2 linked regions of the Bombyx mori genome follow. The protein of the gene in region 2 purifies or fractionates together with the protein of the main gene of each other region. This does not show direct contact. Links are inferred from orthologs where the notes say so. Each region holds a gene or a part of one and is shown on either strand. Other genes may lie near its edges.

Region 1 (3,657 bases), on a different chromosome or scaffold from region 2:
TTAAGTTACTTCAATTCAATAAACATGTAAAGTGATAATCGAAATGCTTTAGGACTGGTAACAATGTGTGTGTGTGCGTGCGTGCGCGTGTACGGCCACACACCTGCGGCGTGAGGACGGCAGTGACGTCAGTCTGCGTGGCGACGGGCGCGGCGGGGGGCGGGGCGGGGGCCGCGGCGCGGGACGCGGGGGTCACGGCGCGCAGCACCTCGCGCATGCAACTCTGCAACTCCACCACCTGCAAAAGCAACATAAAAAAAAATTTAATGAATATTATGACCTGGTAACTAAGACCTGGTAACTAAGGTCAAGTCTTATTTTAATTTTAATGAAAACTTTTTTATATAAAAAATGATATTATGAAATGAAATTAAAGCAGATGGAATGATATAGAATGAAATATAATCTCAGTTAAATGGTGGTCATTTACTGAGACTTTTTGGAGGATCCCGAGAAGTTATGTTTAGCGGGTTTGTTTCATTTTCCCATGTTTGTGCACTTTTACAGATACTAAACAGTTAATAAAAAACTACACATTTAAACCTGAAGGAACACTAAATAGACTAAATAAAACAAATCACCCAACTTCACTCCTCGCGTTCCCGCCAAAAAGTCCCCTGTACAATAAATTAATTCGTAGTCCGCCCGGTAGTGTAGTAACTCTCAGTTGTTTTTGTTCACTCAGTGTTTATGTTCCATTCACTCACTCGTTCGTTCATTCGATCAGCTCGCCTGGTACCAACAGTGTGCTTAGTGCAAGTTTTTTAACGTTCGCGATGGCGTGAAAGTTCACTCAAATCTGTATGGAGTTGAAACGTTCGCCTACGTTTGCCGCTAGGGGCACTGTTCTATCCGCATACAAATTGAGTTAACTTTTATGCTATCGAGAACGTTAAAAAACTCGCACTGAGCACACAGTAGTAGCCAAAAAGCCTATGGCGATCTTTAATTTTATTAAACTTACCTGTTCCTGTAGGTTGATACATCTCTCTGACAACTGCCGCAGTACATCCGTGTTCTCATCGCAATCTGACATGTTCTTGTGTTTGCCATCTACAAAAAAATGACACCAATAAACATTTTCCATTTTCATTAATTGAAAAATTTAAAATCATTTCGAGGAATAGATTAGCTGATTACAGAAAACTGATTTTTAATCAAATAAGTTTGATTTTTCTTTGTTCTAAATTACTTCATCATCATTGGCTTTATTCAAACAGATACTTTAGCCTATACATTTATATATTCTGTACACGTCTCAAATGTAATTAAATTGTAAATTGATTAATTGTAAATATTTAATTTAGCTTTTTAAATTGGTGCAAAATTTAAAAAAATAGTGGCCATAAAAAAAGTAAAAAAGTCTTAAGAAGATTAAATCACATCATGTAAAACATACATATTATTGAGAATTTTCTAAATGTATGTACTTTTTTATTTTATTTTTTTTATTGCATAGAGGTGTGGACGAGCTCACAGTCCACCTGGTGTAAAGTGGTTACTGGAGCCCATAGACATCTACAACATAAATGCGCCACCCATCTTGAGATATGAGTTCTAAGGTCTCAGTACAGTTCCAACGGTTGCCCCACCCTTCAAACCAAAACGCATTACTGCTTCACGGCAGAAATAGGCGTCTCACGATGTCACTACAATGGTCACACCGGCTCACCTAAAGCTTGTAAAGTGGAGACCTTCTTCCAGAGGGCGTTAATAGCTTGCATCTGTAGCTGCTGTATTTTCCTTTCGCTTTCTAGGGCCGCTTTTGTGGCCTCCATGTCGCAGGTTAGTCTTCTAAATAACAGAGAGAAAAAAAACATTTCTTTGGTTCATACAGTGGTTTTAAATGACCAATGTTATTGATCTTGACACACGAGGTCTAAACGACTGTCTAGGAGTAACACATTACAATGAATCCTTAAGGCGAACATGACTAAGACATGAAGTGGAAGTCTCAATTGTGCTGTATGCTGGTTGTACCACTCTTCAAGCTGGAGCACATGGAAGCTTCACGGCAGAAATAGGCAGAATAGGCAGGTGCGGACTCCACAATACGCCCAACCAATCTTCGTAATGATAACTAAATTATAATCCAGTTAGATCTTCCGTCTTGTCTTGACTGGTAAAACCCCTAATAATACACCTTCAGTCGCCTGATAGTTAGTAAGGTATACGAACTGTATGTGTTGCCTGGCCCTCGCCGCTTGGATCGCATGAAGGATCCTGAGAGTGTCCTTGTTAAGGTTCCTGCTCCGGTATCCTCGCCACATCTTCTGTATGGTGACCGCAGCCATCGACTCCACGCTCATCTTCTTCTGTCTCCGCTGATTTGAAGCCAACTTGATAATCTCCAGTTTGTCTTGCTCTATGACGTCACTGTTCACTCCGTTCATTTTGTCAGAGTTCTTCACGTCCAGCTTGGTCAAGCTGCCCTTTCGTTCGACTTTGGACCTTAACTTCGGCGAGGAAGTGGCGCTTTTGGTTAATTTCGGCGAGCCTCTCGTGTTCCTTGTCAGCTTGGGCCGGTCCTCCTGTGCGCTGCTGTTGCTGGAGTGCGAGGAGGCGCTGTTCGCAGAGTTGTGCTGTTTGGGTATCGTCTTTTGTATGTCGTAGATGGGGTCCTGGTAGTCTGGACTCATGAGGGATTCCGGTACGGGAACCATTTTGGATGCAGCCTCCAGTGACTGGTTAACCGGCTTCGGTGTTGGGGGTTGTTCTGTAATAGATTTTTGATTAGATTAGACAAAAGTAGCCTGGCCCTAGCCTAAGGGGCTATTCTAGCTACGCCCGGCCGGGTAGGTGCATTCTCGAGTTGAACCTGAGAGAGTTTGTTAGCACTAGCCCTAGCAAGAGCAGTGTTTGGGAGAATTTACCACCAAATCGGAATCGCGACCCACTGAGAAGATCCGGCGAGAAACTCAGCGGGCTGTGTCTATGGGTTATTTCTTTTTTTTTATTGCTTAGATGGGTGGACGAGCTCACAGCCTCCCTGGTGTTAAGTGGTTACTGTAGCCCATAGACATCTACAACGTAAATGCGCCACCCATCTTGAGATATAAGTTCTAAGGTCTCAAGTATAGTTACAACGGCTGCCCCGCCCTTCAAACCGAAACGCATTACTGCTTCATGGCAGAAATAGGCAGGGTGATGGTGCCTACCCGCGCGGACTCACAAGAGGTCCTACCACTAGTAAAACTCCAGTAAATCTTGAACTCCGGCCGGATTTCGAATTGGAAATAAAGGGAAATGACCACAAAGCCAACGATACGATCCTAACAAACTCACCTAACGTCTTCTCTTTGACTGGTCCGTTCTTCTCGAGCGCATACATAAGACCAGTGGAGTCGAAGCTCTGGCTCATGGAGGAGAGGCCTGGCAGATCGCCAGTGTAAGACGAGCTCATGTTCGAAGGGGACCCGTTCCTAGATAAAGCCGCGTGATAGCTCGAGCTCAGGCGGTCCGGCGAACGGCCCACGTACCTCGACGTTATGCGAGCTGTGTTCGACACAACAACTTTTTAAATACTGTTGAATATGGCGGTTGACTGAGCGTGGTTACTGAGTTTCAAACTGAGTTTTTTCATGGGCCACCAGACGGGCTCGGCTGGATCGCATAGCAGCGGACTGATAGACTGAGTAACAAAGGCACTGACTTCTT
Region 2 (3,657 bases):
AAAGATAGTCACATGTCAGAGAACGAAGTCGATGTGCAGGGTACGTCTACTAGAGCACGTGGTCTTCGCACCGAGCCGCTCTCCCCGTGCGCGGCCTGCGCTGAACCCAGAATGTTCCTCGACACGTTCCAGAAGCCACGCTGAGCCGCTCCCACACCGTCTATACGCTCGATGCGAACCCAACCTGAATTGTTAACAAGGTATTATAAAACCTAATAGTACACGCCAAACGTATTCGATAGTTGACATATCTTTAAATTATTACGTGAAGCAAAAACTTTGTATCTCTTTTAACGAAAATTTCGCGGACGGAGGAGTATGAAATTTCCCACGCTTATAGTTTATATAGAGAAGGAGTGCAGAATGCTAATATTTTTTCGAAATTATGCATTAAAAATACACTAAATTAATAAGAAAAACATTGTACACACTACCATGTTTTTGACACACACACGCATATATACTCTTTTGTTTATTGTTTTTTTTATTGCTTAGATGGGTGGACGATCTCACAGCCAACCTGATGTTAAGTGGTTACTGGAGCCCATAGACATCTACAACGTAAATGCCGCCACCCACCTTGTGATATGAGTTCTAAGATCTCAGTATAGTTACAACGGCTGCCCCGCTCTTCAAACCGAAACGCATTACTGCTTCACGGCAGAAATAGGCGGGGTGGTGGTACCTACCCGTGCGGACTCAAAAGACTCAAAAGAGGTCATATCACCGGTAAATTAATGATGATAATTAATTAGTGATGATTTGAGAATTTACCTATTTAATTGTTTCCATGTTCGAGTTAATTTCGGCGTTGTGTGATTCAATCTACACAAACGCATAAACATACAAGGAATGAATTGGTTGTGAATATTTCATACAATATTATGTATAAATATTATAAAAATATTTGCTAAGGCCCGGCGACCACCAACTCAGTGTCCAGTGGGCAAGAGAATGTATATACTTTACGTAAAACTCGTCACCTTGCCCCCGACCGGTTTCGGGTGATTTTATTAGTAGAATTCTACTAATAAACTGTACTTTATTAGTAGAATTCTACTAATACATGTAACTATACTGAGACCTTAGAATTGATATCTCAAGGAGGGTGGCGCATTTACGTCGTAGATGTCTGTGGGCTCCAGTAACCACTTAACACCAGGTGGGCTGGGAGCTCGTCCACCCATCTATCAATAAAAAAAAAATTCAAATTCATGACAATGCAATACATACTAACCAGCAAACGGAGGCAGTAAGTCCGGTTGGCAGTTACTGCAGTAGCACCGTACCTGGCCCCAGGACACCGCCTTTCGAAGTTCAGGGTACGGACAAACCAAAAAGTTCCAATACTTCAAAACAAGATGCAAGTGCTCACAGCCTTCGCCTGACGCTTCCCACTCGGACTCCAAGCTCTGACCTTCGTCCATCTCTTGATCGAAGCACAAGATGCGATTGAGGTAATTCAAGTTCTCAATAGATAGCTGCTCGGACCATAGCTCGTCGCGGCGCGTCGATTCATCTAAAGACGACGATTGCTCTTCGGTTAGATCAGGCAAATTACCAGTTTCCAAAGTGAGAGCGTCCATTATCTCATTATCCAAATTATCGACATCGTTCGCTTCGGGATACCGATCGTTATGGCGAATGTTCGTATCGTAAAACTGTCCGTGCGACAAGCTGTCCGAGTGATCCGCTATCTGTGAGCCTACACTGTACGTATGACGTAACACCTTTAGTTCGATATCGTCTTGTATCAGACTAAAATTATGAGAGGAATGACTCTTGTGAATGAAGCGCGACGATGTAGATGTATCACAGCTGTTTGACGACATCGTATTGTCTGACATTATCAGGCTTTGGTGTAAAGAGAGCTGATTGGGACATTGTCTCTTGCGTCTTATCGCTGGATTCTTCGTCTCGAAGTTACTGAGCGGAATGCATTCTAGAGGCAGGATATCGCGTCGGGAGCTGGGTCCGGGCTGAGCCGCGATAGGTTCCAGCTCGTCCTCGATGAGGTTGTCGTGGCTATAGGCTTTCAGTTTTCGACGGATTCGCATTTCGGTCAAATTGGTTTCGAATAATTCACGAGTTGGTTCTTCATTCATGTCGAGATCCGACATCGATTCTTCTCTTTGATTTTCAGCTATGATGGGTAGGTCGATCGAAGTGCCGCTCACGACCACGTGAGGATGCAACAGTACAGACACCTAGAATTTGAATTCGAGGTTTTAATTAAGCTGAAATGGCGGTTATCCTTGTAGCGTTACCGGTCTTATAAATCAGAACGCATGATTTCTTTGCACCAGAAACGAATAGGACAGTGGTACTAACCTACAAGGGCTCACAATATGCCCTACCATCAGTACTCCATTGCAAAAAAAAACGGGGAAAGCTAAACAAGGTTTACAGGTTAAATCGGTTATAGACAGATTGCAGGGTAGTAGTGGCTTGAAGAATGCTGGGTTCAGTCATACTGATTCATAGCCGGATTATATAGTCCGGACTATATAGTATCTATATAATAGGGCAGGGGTCATCAAATTGCGGACCGCGGTCTTCATCCGGACCGCTGATCGATTTTGTGTGGACCGCGAAAACACAGCAACTCGTACTACTATGCACGGAAATTTCCAGTGAAGAGTTCTAGATAATTTTGTAAAGCAACATTTTCGAAAATGAACTTCATCAAGAATAAATTTCGATCTCGACTTACTGATGAACATCTCTGGGAATTAATTAAAATATCTTGCACTAATTTTTCTCCGAACTTCAGACAGATAGTCCGTTTCAAAAATATTTCATTTTTATCATTTATATGTAAAAAAATACCTTTGTTATTTCCGTACATTTGATTACTAAATATATATATATATTTTTTATAAAATGTACGGCGTTGCGCGATTGTCATTTCATTTCTTAAAACAGACTCCGAACTAAGCTAATTAGTGACCCCTGGTCTAGCTAGGGTCGCACGGCATTAAGATCGATTCGAATCGATAATACAAACTCGTACTCACTTGAGTGACGCGACCGTAAAGATCGATCAGGGGGAAGACGTGACAAGCATTCCTTGAAACAGCGCCGATGACTCCGAGCGGCTCCGAGTCGATGTCCACGGCAATGTCGCTGTTCAGCCTGAAGTGTATAGTGAGCACCGACTGCTCCGTCAAGTTGTCTAAAGGTGCACCTCTCTTTGTCTTTATCTAAAACGATAATGATTCTTTAATACCAACAAGTAATAGTAGACGAATTTTAGCACTTATTTTTTGATCTCGACATCTAAGGGGACTTATACTGTTATAAGTTATGTGGTTGGTACCATAGAGTCATCAGCCACCAGAACAAAAAAAAATATTAATATTAGTATCAGAAGAAGATTAGATTTTGTATTGCCATTCTAGAATTAACATATTCTGACTTTTTCTTTCAGGCAAAGCCGCCATAGTTGTTTGTCTATGGATGGTGGAAGCCACCGATTGAGTAGTTCAAAAAACCTGACTTCGGTAGTACTAAAAATAAGGCAAATACTCCACAATATTACAAAACTTCACACCATTTCTACTAAATAAATGCCGCATGCATTCGCAGAGATTACTTAAACACAATTAATTGACTTACATAATCACCGTTGTCGTAAATCAGGTCACTTGTAATGAC

What was found. The genes of interacting proteins can lie anywhere in the genome.
Region 1: the proteins of neuralized-like protein 4 (region 2) and centrosomal protein of 97 kDa purify together in Homo sapiens (affinity purification with western blotting; 4 studies listed by BioGRID and IntAct, with this or other methods). This does not show direct contact. The link is inferred for Bombyx mori from reciprocal best matches to the Homo sapiens genes NEURL4 and CEP97.

Annotation. Positions count from the first base shown.
Region 1 is NC_085120.1:10,929,513-10,933,169, reverse strand, and holds part of centrosomal protein of 97 kDa, read right to left. Parts: intron 3,496-3,657; coding exon 3,286-3,495; intron 2,717-3,285; coding exon 2,179-2,716; intron 1,795-2,178; coding exon 1,673-1,794; intron 1,054-1,672; coding exon 965-1,053; intron 239-964; coding exon 104-238; intron 1-103. UniProt on the Homo sapiens protein: Acts as a key negative regulator of ciliogenesis in collaboration with CCP110 by capping the mother centriole thereby preventing cilia formation. Required for recruitment of CCP110 to the centrosome.
Region 2 is NC_085107.1:10,103,219-10,106,875, reverse strand, and holds part of neuralized-like protein 4, read right to left. Parts: coding exon 3,619-3,657; intron 3,204-3,618; coding exon 3,018-3,203; intron 2,208-3,017; coding exon 1,238-2,207; intron 185-1,237; coding exon 13-184; intron 1-12. UniProt on the Homo sapiens protein: Promotes CCP110 ubiquitination and proteasome-dependent degradation. By counteracting accumulation of CP110, maintains normal centriolar homeostasis and preventing formation of ectopic microtubular organizing centers.